Linked DNA regions of Tamandua tetradactyla. The protein of the gene in region 2 interacts with the protein of the main gene of each other region in a pairwise test. Links are inferred from orthologs where the notes say so. Each region holds a gene or a part of one and is shown on either strand. Other genes may lie near its edges.

Evidence for each region.
Region 1: the proteins of CTBP1 (region 2) and NOL4L interact in binary tests that used the Homo sapiens proteins (3 or more experiments, as listed by UniProt). The link is inferred for Tamandua tetradactyla from reciprocal best matches to the Homo sapiens genes CTBP1 and NOL4L.
Region 3: the proteins of CTBP1 (region 2) and KLF3 interact in binary tests that used the Homo sapiens proteins (3 or more experiments, as listed by UniProt). The link is inferred for Tamandua tetradactyla from reciprocal best matches to the Homo sapiens genes CTBP1 and KLF3.

The regions. Positions count from the first base shown.
Region 1 is NC_135327.1:20,508,919-20,512,657, reverse strand, and holds the start of NOL4L (nucleolar protein 4-like), read right to left. Parts: upstream 2,567-3,739; coding exon 2,246-2,566; intron 1-2,245.
Region 2 is NC_135345.1:920,467-924,205, reverse strand, and holds the start of CTBP1 (C-terminal-binding protein 1), read left to right. Parts: upstream 1-936; 5' UTR 937-986; coding exon 987-1,026; intron 1,027-1,225; exon of another isoform or gene 1,226-1,254; intron 1,255-3,739. UniProt on the Homo sapiens protein: Corepressor targeting diverse transcription regulators such as GLIS2 or BCL6. Has dehydrogenase activity. Involved in controlling the equilibrium between tubular and stacked structures in the Golgi complex.
Region 3 is NC_135345.1:40,250,213-40,253,951, reverse strand, and holds the start of KLF3 (Krueppel-like factor 3), read right to left. Parts: upstream 2,802-3,739; 5' UTR 2,690-2,801; coding exon of another isoform or gene 2,457-2,689; 5' UTR 2,376-2,456; exon of another isoform or gene 1,936-2,375; intron 1-1,935. Other genes in the region: uncharacterized protein LOC143663134, read left to right, coding at 2,457-2,689. UniProt on the Homo sapiens protein: Binds to the CACCC box of erythroid cell-expressed genes. May play a role in hematopoiesis.

The DNA.
Region 1 (3,739 bases), on a different chromosome or scaffold from region 2:
GGCCAGCAGGGCAGGTCACTGCGGGCATGAGAAGGGTCTGAAGCTCTGTGCTGGGCTGGCAGGACCTGGTGTCCAGGCCTGGCACTCAGTTTCTGCATGTGATCTGGACGGGGCCTGGGGGGTGGGGGTGTGCACTGCCTTGACAGCTGTGTGGCTGGGGGTTGGGGGAAGGCTGCCCACTCCCTAGGAGAGAGGTCCACCGAGTGCGTCAGCTGCCAGGTCACAGGGAGGGAGACACCCACCCCACCCCCAACTCCAGGAGTGCATGGAGTGGGGGCTCCTGCTTTCTAGGGCAGGAATAACTAAGATGGGGTGGGAAGGCATGACCCTGGAAGCTGGGATAGCTGGGGGCACTGATCCAGGGTGGGGTGCATAGGCCCAGTCAACCATCTGTGGGTTGCTGACCTCAAAAAACTACATTTAGGCTGGGGGCACTGACCCAAAATGGAAGAGAACCTAGGTGGGTCCCCGACAGGCAGGCAGGGGGTGGGGGTGGGGGGGTGGTTTGACCTAGGGAGGTGCAGTGATCCAAACTCTTCGGGTGGGAGAGTTGGTAATGATATGGCCTGGGCGTGGGTGGGGAGGGGTCCCGGACTCCACTGGGAGAGGGGACAATGGCCCGGACTGGCTGGGTGAGGGGGAGAGCACTGATTTAGGCTGGGGGAGCCCCTGACTCGCTCGGCAGAGGGGCGCGGCCCCAACCTCTCCCTCTGGGACTCCGGCCTCGGCGCGCCCCTCGGCCCGGCCCTCGGTCTCCGCTCCGGCCGGAGGCGGCAGCGGCGCAGATGGGCTGCTGGCGGCCGCAGCGGCATCGGCGCGGTTATCAGCGCTCCTCGCAGATGTGCCGCCCGCCCGCCCTCGGCGCTCGCGGCTCCCCGCTCCCCGCGGCCTGCAGCCCGGTCCCCTGGGCGCGGCGGGAGGCGCCTCCGGATCCGCTCCCCGGCTCCCGCCTCCTCCCTCGCGGCCCCCTCACCCCGCGGGCCGGGCCCGGGCAGCCTCCGGAGGGGGAGGGGGAGGGGACAAGTGCACTTTTCGTAACGACCGAATCAATTGTGTGTGAAGAGCCCGCTCCGGCCGGGGCCGCGGCTGAGCGCGGGGCGGGCGGGCCGGACGGGGGAGGAGCGCGGAGGGGGAGCGGGGGAGAAAGGGAGGGAGGGAGGCCGGCGCGGGGCGGCCCCGTTCGCTCGCTCGCTCGGGCCGGGCGAGGCCGGGAAGGGAGCGAGGGGGGCAGGGAGGCGGCCGGGCCGGCCGGGGGCGGAACGCACTAATGGAGGGTCTCGGCGACGGAAAGTTCAAAGCTCAGCGGCACCCCGGGAGCGGCCGCCCCCCAGCCCCCACCCGCTGCAGAACAATGAGGTCCCGGCGGGGGAGCCGCGGGGCCCGCGCCGCACGCCCTCTCCAGGGCGCCCCGGGCCGGAGGGGACGCCCCCGCCCGGCCGGCCGCCTCCTCCTCCTCCTCCGCGGCTGCGGTTCCCCGCCCCCTCCCCACCCCCACCCCCGCCACTCCGTCGGGACCGGGCCGGCCCGGGGGACGGGGGAGGGGAGGGGATGGATAGGTCAGGCCGCCCCCGCCCCAGGGAGGAGGGGGAAGCCAGGGGCCCGGGGGGCGGAGGGGGCGCCCCACCCACCCGCGGCAGGCTGCTCCTGCGCCAGGCTGCGGCTCGGGCCGCCCCTCCCCGGGCTAGCCCCGGGTGGGGTCGGGCGGCAGTGCCCGGGCGGGCCCCCTCCCTTGGAGCTGGGAGGCCAAACGGACTCCACGTCCCAGGGCTGCTCCTGCTCATTCCCCCCACCCGCGACACTCCCGCCCCCCCGTCACACACACACACACACACACACACATACACACACACACACACACACACACCGCCCAGCCTGCCCGGGGGCGGGAGCGCGAGGCGCCCGGGACAGGCAGCCCCGGGGCGGGCGGGGGGAAGCTCGGGCTTTGGAGCAGCCGCCTGCTGGCGGGGGGAGGGGACGCGAGGACGGAACATGCTGGGGTGAGCAGCCCGGGACAGCCCGCCCGGCACGGCCGCAGCCCGGGCAGCGGCGCCGAAGGGGTCAGGGACGCCCCGAACCCGGAGCGCGGCTGGGGCGGGCCAGGGCGGACCGGCGAGCAGGGACGCGTGCGCCCCAGGCGGGCCAGACACACGGACAGCCTCAGGGACACACGTTAGGGCACACATCCACACCCGCACCCCGCCCCCGCCCGCCCCGGGACCGGCCCGTAGCCGCCGCGCGCACTCACCGAGCCCGTCTTGACCGGCACATACACCACTTGGCCCATCTTGGGTTCCCGGCCGCTGCCCAGGCGGAAGCCCTTGGAGCGCACCCAGAACTGGAACTTGCCTTTCTCGCCGGCCGCGGGGCCGCTGCCAGCGCCGGTCCCGCCGCCGCCCTGCAGGACCTCGGCGATCCGCTGGTATTTGCTGCGTGTCACCGTCTTGGTTTTGGCCGAGTCGCCGTAGGTGCGCAGGCACCAGTCCCGGAACTGGCGGCCCAGCTCAGAGTCCCCGGGGCTGCGCTCGCGCTCCCAGCCCCCGCGCAGCAGCAGCGTCGGCTTCGGCATCCTCCCGCCGCGCCCGGCGCCCTCGGGGGCGGGCCGGCCGTTGGGCCGCCCGGGGCCGGGGCTGGGCTGGGCTGGGCCGGGCCGAGCCGGGACGCGCCGCGGCCGGGCCCGTCCCGCGGTGTGGCTCCGGCGCGGCTGCTTGCTGGGTGCGGGCGGCGGCCGGACGCGCGGGGCTGCGGCGCGCTCTGTCCTGCTCGGGCGGCGGCGGCGGCGGCGTTGGCGGCGGCGGCTCCGGCTCGCCTCCTGCTCCGCCTCCTCCTCCCCCCGGCCGGGATGCAGGAGCGATGGAGGCAGCTCCGGGCCCGGAGGTGCAGAGGGGGCGGACCGCCCCGCGGGCGGCCGGGGGAGGCGGGAGGCGGGGAGCGGCCCCGGGCGCAGGGAGCGAGACCGAGCCTGGGCGCGGGCGGCGGCGGCTGTCAGCTCGCGCGGCTCGTCCTGCTCTGCTCCGGCTCCCGCTGCCGCTGCTCTTCCTCCTCCTCCTCCTCCCGCGCCCGCCTCCTCCACGCCGCGGGATCCCACCTGTTAGAGCGGCGCAGCCTTCGCCGCCGCGACACCCCCCCCCCCGCCCCACTCCCTCCCGCGCCCGCCCGCTGGACCCAGCCTCCGCCCCGTCCTGGCCCCTGGGGGCGCGGGGGCCGCCGCGCCCAAAGCCGCGGGGAGAGCAGAGCCGCAGGCGCGCAGTGCCTGGCCCAGGGACCGAGTTCCCTCCGGCCCGGCTGGGCCCCGAGCTTCGCAGGCCTCTGTCCGCCCGGCCGGGCCGCCCCACGGGGAGCAGGGCGCAGACCTCGGTCTGGCCACCCGCGCTGGGGCCTCCCTGGGCCGCCCCGCCCCGCTTAGCCCGACCCGGCCGGTCAGGGCACGGGGCCCCTCCCTCCCACAGGGCCTGGCCTGCAGGGTCCCGAGCAGAGCAACTAGCCTGACCTCTCCGCCCGCACCCGGCGTCAGAGGGCCCCCGGCGGAGAGCCAGAGGAACAGTATTCTCCTGGGGAACCCCAAACCGCCGCCCTTGGGGGCCTCCAAACTTCCTCCCCTCTTGCCTCCTCCTAAATTCCCCGAAGTTTGGCCGGCCTTGCCCCTGCCGGCCCCACTGCTCTGGGGCAGCCCCAGGCCCCAGGGAGCTCCACATGGGCTCAACACACTAATTCATCTGAGACACCAGGCTTCGGGGATGCA
Region 2 (3,739 bases):
TCTCTGTCGCGCCCGCAGGGGTGTCCTCGGGCCGCCCTGCGCCCTCCTGTCTCTCCGGCCCCGCGCCCCGTCCCCCCTCCCGCCCCTTGACCCCAGGCCCCAGGCTCTGGTCCCTTGTTCCCCAGCTCCGCGGCCCCCAGGCCCTTGCCTGCATCCTCCAGCCCGGCATCCCCCGACTCCGCGCCCCTCCCCTCATCCCCCAGCCCCGCATCCCCCGGCACCGTGCCACCCGCACCCCCCAGTCCCGCGCACCCTGGCTCCACGCCCCCCCGGGGCCCTTGCCCGCATCCCCAGCTCCGCGACCCCCGGCCCCTTGCCCGCATCCCCCAGCCCCGCATCCCTGGGTCCTGCATCCCCCGACCCCTTGCCTGCACCCCCCAGCCCCCGGTCCCCCGGCTCCACGCCCCCTGGGCCCTTGCCCGCATCCCCCAGCCCCGCATCCCCCGGCACCGTGCCACTCGCACCCCCCAGCCCCGCGTACCCTGGCTCCGCTCCCCCCGGACCCCTTGCCCGCATCCCCAGCTCCGCGTTCCCCGGCTCCGCGCCCCCCGGCCCCTTGCCTGCATCCCCCAGCCCCGGATCCCCCGGCTCTGAGCCCCCCGCATCCCCCGCTCCGCTCCCCCCGCATCCCCCGGGCCCGCATCCCCCGCTCCGCGCCCCCCGCATCCCGGGGCGGGAGGGCGGCGTCGCTGCCAGGCCAGGGCGGGGCCGGCGGGCGCGCCCTGCAGCCGCCCGCGTCGGTCCGGCGCGGCGCGCTCGCCTGGAAACACGAGATTAATGCGGCCGCGCAAGCCCCGCCCGCCGCCGCGCGCCGCCGCCGCTCTGCGTCCCCGCCCGCTCGGAGGCGGCTGCTCGGCGCGGCGCGGCGCGATCGGCTCGGCGGCCCCGGGCGCAGGCGGGCGGAGCAGCGGACGGCGCAGGGCCCAGGCGCCGGGCTCGGCGGAGCGCGCCGCACTCGTCGGGGCCGCGGCCGCCCGCGCCTTTCAATGGGCAGCTCGCACTTGCTCAACAAGGGCCTGCCTCTCGGTGAGCGGGCCGCGCTTCCGGCCGGCGGGGGGCGGCGGCGCGGGGGGCGGGGAACGGCCGGCGGGCGGGGGGCGCGGGGGCGGGCCGAGCGCGCGCCGCGGGCGCCGCTTTGTGTGCGAGTGCGCGTGCGCGCCCGCCGGCCGGGGGCGGGGCCGCGCGCGGGCGCGGGCGCGGGCTGCTGAGTGCGCGTGCGCGGAGCCGCCGTCACGCCCGGCCGGGTCGGCGCAGGTGACACAAAGGGGCCGGCGCGGCGGGAGGGGCAGCCGGGCGCGCCGGCCGTCGGACCCCAGACCCGGCTGTCGTCCGACACCCAGATCCGGGTCCCCTCGGACCCCAGAGCCGTCCCTTTGCACCCCCAGACCCGTCTTCTCGGACCTCCAGTCCCGGTTCCCTCGGACCCCCAGACCCGGTTCTCCTCGGACCCACAGACCCGGTCTCCTTGGACCCGAGACCCGGCCCACGGCCCTGCGGCCTGGTCCTCTCGGACTCCCAGACCCGGGTCTCCTCGGACCCCCAGTCCCGGTCCCCTGGGATCCCCAGTTCCAGCCCACGACCCTGCGGCCCGGCCCCCTCCGACTCCCAAACCCGGTTCCCTTGGACCCCCAGACCTGGTCCCATTGGATCCGCTGATCTGGCCCATGACCCTGCACCCGGTCCCCTCGGACCCCCATTCCTGAGTCCCTCAGATCCCCAGACCCGGTCCCCTCGGACCCCCAGACCCGGTCCCCTCAGACCCCCAGACCCGGTCCCCTCGGACCCCCAGATCCGGGTTGCCTTGGGATCCCCAGATCTGGCCCACGATCCTGTGGCCCGGTCCCCTCAGACCCAGTGTCCTCAGACCCTGATGTCCGGCGGGGCCCCATTGGATCCCCAGACCCAGGTCACATCGAACCCCAGACCCAGAGTTGCTGCCCTGCAGCCCAGCCCTCTCATAGCCCCAGTCCTACAGCTGGCTGGGTGGACCCCCAGATCCAGCCCACAACCCTACTGCCGGGTCCCATCAGACCCCCAGATCTGGCCTGCAGCTCTGCACCCTAACCTCATCAGACCCCCAGACGCAGGTCCTACCATACCTTCAGACCTGGGCCTACCCGGTTCCAGGCTTGTTGGACCTCCAGAACCTGGCCTGCAGTTTTTTGGCCCAGCCCATTTGACCCCCAGTCCCAGGTCCCACTGGACCCTCAGAGCTGCGTTTCATCTTAGATCTGCCCCCCATCCTCGCCCCCCACCCCCGTCCTGGATGTCAGCCTGTGAGTTGCCCCGACCGGTCCCTGCTGGAGCCGGGCTGGCCTCGTTGGGCGGTCAGCAGAGCCTCCTGCTCTGTTTAAGTCGCCTTCCTGTCCTGGAGCCTCCTGCTCTGTTTAAGTCGCCTTCCTGTCCCGGAGCCTCCTGCTCTGTTTAAGTCGCCTTCCTGTCCCGGAGCCTCCTGCTCTGTTTAAGTCGCCTTCCTGTCCCGGAGCCTCCTGCTCTGTTTAAGTCGCCTTTCTGTCCCGGAGCCCGGGTTGGCGTCCGTTGTGTTTGGAGCATGCTGGGGTGTGCTTTTGGTGCTTCTGCGGCGCGCAAGCAGCCGGTTCACCCATCGACTTGCTTTGCAAGAAGGAGACAGCTCTCCCTCCGCCTGGGGATGTTTACTGTGTGTGACCAGGGGTGGGAGTCAGAAGGCGGTCGCGAGTGTGTTGGCCCAGCACTGCCCCCCGCCCGTTTCCTGTGGGTGGGGGTGGGGGCTGCTGGCCGACCCGGGCCTCTGTGACGTCCGAAGGCGAGGCGGCCGGCCCTCAGGTTAAGGGAGGTGACCCCAGGCTGCCGCTGTCGCACCGCAGCCCAGCTTTGCCCTTAGGCCTCTTGCTTTGAATTTTTTTGTCCCCGGTTTGTGTGTGTAAAATTAGGACGCAGCTGTCCGGCGGGCGGGAGGGCAGCCGTTCCCTCTGTGCTGCCGGCTGGAAGGCCCAGGCATTGGCCCTGCGACGTGGGTGTGTGGGGTGTGTCCGTGTCCCCCCGTGGGTGGAGGGGCCGCTGCTGGGGCACCCCCGCGGGCACCCCAGCGACACAGAGTCTGTGCATCACGAGGCACCTTGGTCTCCCCTCCTGGCATCCGAGCGCCAGCGCAGGGCCCTTCGGCTCCAGGCCCAGGCGAATGCAGGCCTTGCTCTGAGCGGCCCTCACCCAGGCCACTTTGTCACTTGCGCACGGCCCTCCGTGGCCATTTTGCAGTTCCTGGTCGCGTCCCCGCAGCGTGGCCTTCCTCGTGGCAGGAGCACTTCCGGGGTGGAGCGTCCCCGGGTCCTGCCTGGCCCGCCCGCCTCGGCTGCCCCCTCCTCGGCCCCTCCCTGTGCCCGCAGCGGCAAGGTCAGGCGGGAGCCGGGGGAGGGGGCCGCACCTGAGCCGGAGGCTTGGAGACTGGAACCTTCCCTGGCAGGGTGCCCAGCCCGGCCTTTGCCTGGGGACCTGCTTAACCCTTTGCTGCCTGCTGGAAGAAGGGCCGCCCCAGGAGGGACAGGGAACCCGTGGGCGGCCCTGGCTGTGGCCGTGGCCCTGCGGCTGAGCTGGGCTGTCACTCTTGCCACAGGGAAGCCAAACACGTCTAGCTTTCTGGGGTTTCCCTCCGTGGCCGCCGCCCTCCAGGGTCAGGCCGTGGGCCTGGAGGTGGCCGTGCCTGGGGAGATTGGGGGCTGCAGAAGCTGTAACCCTCCGCCCTGCAGCTCCCTCCCTCTCT
Region 3 (3,739 bases), about 39 Mb from region 2:
CCCCCATGCCAATAGCTGGTCTCTAGCCTGATCAAATGATGATTATCATTCTGGCTCAGAGCATCTTGAGGAAAATGAAAATAGAGCACTGCTGTTAAGAATTAAGATTACAACTAGGTTACCACACATAATTGAAAATTAGATCCATTTTAAGGGTCCCTCAGTCACAGAACTAAATTCCGAGACGTGGTCTGTGGCACATCTAGAGTCACCCCAAGTTTTCACTGTCCTTTTCCACCTGCAGTTATAGACACATACGCTCACAGCTGCACATCTGTTTCAATGTACACACGTCTACAGAAATTCACCTTGGATAATGTGATTCCATCCCTGACATTTCACTTAATCCAAAATTGTTATACAATCTGTATACCGACTTTTAAAAGATAGTAATAGGTCTGTTTTCTTTTAGGAATTTTTAAAGTAGAGAAATCCACTCCTAGCTCTTTCCTATTATTTCTCTTTACTCTCTGACTGTTTAACTCAGCTTTTCATTACCAGAGATTTAAGGATCTGTGGGTAGACAAAACTACAGGTTCAAAAAAAAAGGCATCACTGTGCCCATAGCAACCAAAAGACTGGGTTTTAACTTAGAAACTTTGCAGTGAAAAAAAAAACACACAATAGCTTTTGTCAAAGCTATGTTGCTTTTTCATATGGACAAGGTTTTGTGGTCTAAGCAGCCACTTTTTTATTTTTCTAATGGTTATACAGCAAACCCTGAAGAATACAGAAACAGAGAAATCAGTTTCTGCAGAAAGTTTAAATTAATCAAACACTCTGAGGTTCCTATTAATAGCCCAAGGCCAACTCACATACTGCTTGTCTCAAGCCAGAAAAAAACTTATCTGTCAACTTTCTTTAAAAATACGAACTCACAAAATTTTGGAGATATTAATGCTATTAGATTTCTGCTCCCCACCTCCGACCCCAAAGCAAGTCTTCACTATCATCTAAACGGATTTCTCTTATAAAATTTCTCCTCAAATTCATACATAAAGCAATCAGAAAAGGACAGTGCAAAACTGCTCTGTGGAACACCCTATGATAATAAGCAACTGGCCTTTTCCCCACTTGATTTTGCTTAGTAATTACAGATGGTAAATCTAATGAAGTCAGAAGATCACTTTTCCCCAGATACCAGACTCTTTTAAGAACATAATCAATATATTTAAAGCGTCTTGGGTGTATCAATGGAAAAAAAAATCAGTTAAAAAAATCTGTGAAAACGTTTATTTTAGTGACTACAAGAAGGGAAGCAATTTCCATTTAACCTGACTTAAAAGTAAGTCCCATTCACATGTTCTCCGTTTGGTATTATTGTACACTACTGTAAAATTTAAACCAGAAAAAGAGGGTTCTCCCGTTTAAGTGCCAAGGACACGGACATGACAATTACAAGTATTATCTGCTATCACAGAAAAAGAGCCTGAAATGCTGGGTACGTCCCATGGGTGCTGGTCCAGGGATCACTTCTCGGCCCACACCTGGCTCGGGTCCCTAAAGCTGCAGGCATTTGCCCTAAGGTACTCTATACGCCTCCAGCTACACTGCAATCCTCCTTCCAGGCACTGCGGCAGGTTCTTTCCGGGTCCCGAGGAGGACTCTCCAAACCCGGCCAGCTCTTTTCCCCTGCCCAGGAGAATCCGGACGCCCTGCAGCGCCTGGAGCCCTGGACCGAGAACGGGATGCTAACTCCACTCCCAATTGCCCAAGTTTCCTCCCAGACGGCCTGGAGGCTGCTCCAAGTTTGCTCCGCCGGGCAAGCGGCCGCGCGCCCAGTCCGGCAGGGGGATAGCTGGGGGCACCCGCGGAGGGAGGGGAGGGAGCGGGAGTGGGGGGAACCGGGGGGGGGGGAGGGAGCCGGGGGGGGGGGGGAACCGGGAAGGGGAGGAGCAGGAGCGCGCGGCGGCCTCGGCGCTACCTTTCTCCAAACAACGTTGCCACACGCGGCGAACGCTGATTTCTGGGGCTTTGGAGGGAATCGCGGGCGGGCAGGCGGCGGCCCGGGGACCACACAGGTGAGGCCCCGCCTGCGCCGTCCCCGGGCCGGAGGCTGTCTGGGGGGCCGTGGCCGGCGCAGGCAGCCCCACGCCCCTGAACCTCCGGATACGCGCCGTGGATTCCCTCACCGTGACCGGTCCCACTTGTGACCGCTGAGCCCGGGGCCTCCTCCCCCTCGCCTCCCTCTCCGCCCCCACCCCCGGCAGCGAGGAGCTGTTGCACTTTCCCAAGCCCGCAGGCGCCCCCACCCCCACGCTGCACCGTCCCAAGCCCATTCACTACCCCCCTATTAAAAATATTCAACTAGACACGACGAAAAGGGGGTCGATTGGAGTCAGGCGTGAAAGAAAAGTGAGGGAGTGAGGACTTACTTTGAGAACCGCGGTGCTGAGCGCAGCGGACGATAAATAAAGGCCCGGCTCCGGGCTTCCTTAAACCCCACGAATGCAGTAATGTCAGCGCTCCAGTTCGGGCAGCGGCAGCGGCCGCAGGGGACCCGGACGCGCGCGCGTGCGACAGACGCGGTTCGGTTCGGCTCGGCTCGGCGGGCGCTTGCTTTGCGCTCCGGCTCCGGCCCGGCTCCGCGCGGCTCCGTTCCTGGCTCCCCTCTGGCTCCTGGCACCAACTCCGGGCAGTCACATGACGCCGGCGCCGCTCTCTCTGCGAGCCTCCCGAGGCTGGCGGGGTAAGTAGAGGCTGGAACCCGGGGTGGGAGGGTCAGGGAGGGGAGAGGGAGCCGCCGCGGCCGCCCGGGCTGGGCGGGTCCCCACCCACTTGGGTGGAGGCAGCCGCCGGAGGGGTCGGCCGAGTCACTCGCGCAAACACGCACCCCGCCCTGCGCCCTTCCCCCGCCACCCCCGCCTCCCGCGCCGCCTCCGCCCCGCCCCGCCCAGTCACCCGGGGACGGCCTGACAGACAGTCATTATTCCCCGGAGCCGGGCGCCGCCCCGCCGGCCAAACCTGTCCCGCGAGGCGCGGCGCAGCCGTGGGGCTGGGCGTGCACTGCGCGGCCCCCGCCCCAAAAGCTCCCGCCCCCCGCCCTGGCTCGGAGCGGCGGACCCTGAGCGCACGCCCTGCGCCCTCGCCCCGGAGGCCCCGCCCGTGCCCCATCCCCGCACCCTCCGCCCAGCGCCCTCCGCCCTCCTCCCTGGGGCCCGCGCCCCACCCGCCTGGGACCCGCCGCCGCGCCGCCGCCCGAGCCCGGGGGAAAGGAAGGGCGGCGCTGCCCGTTCCGGGCGTCACAGTGCTGCAACCCGCTGCGCGGCTTCCAAAACACACAGCCTTAGACTCGCGGGCGAGCCGAGGCGGGGGACGCGGGCCGGCCGGGGCCATCAATCAGCCGGCTCCGGCGGGAAGGGCGGCCCCGGGCGCGGCGGGAAGGGCTGGGCCCCAAGGCCAGCGCGGCCCCTCCTGGGCCGAGTAAATAAAACTCTCTGAAATTATAAAAAGAAAGAAAGAAAAAAGGCATCGGTGGTGTGGGAGCGGGTGGACGGGAACGGATTCAGGGAAAGAAGGCGGAGGGGAAAGGGGAACGGTGGGTTGCCCCCAAGCCTAAATGGTCCAGAATTTCCAGGGTCGTTCGACATCCTCTTGGCGCGCTCTTTCTTTGTGCCCCGGGGCTCCGGGACCCCCTTGTTGCTTTTTTGAGCGGCCGGAGGCCCCGCTCAGGGCAAACCTCCCACGGGCTTGGCCTGCCCCTGGGGCAGAAAGGCAGCTGCAGAGCGGCAGCATTTGT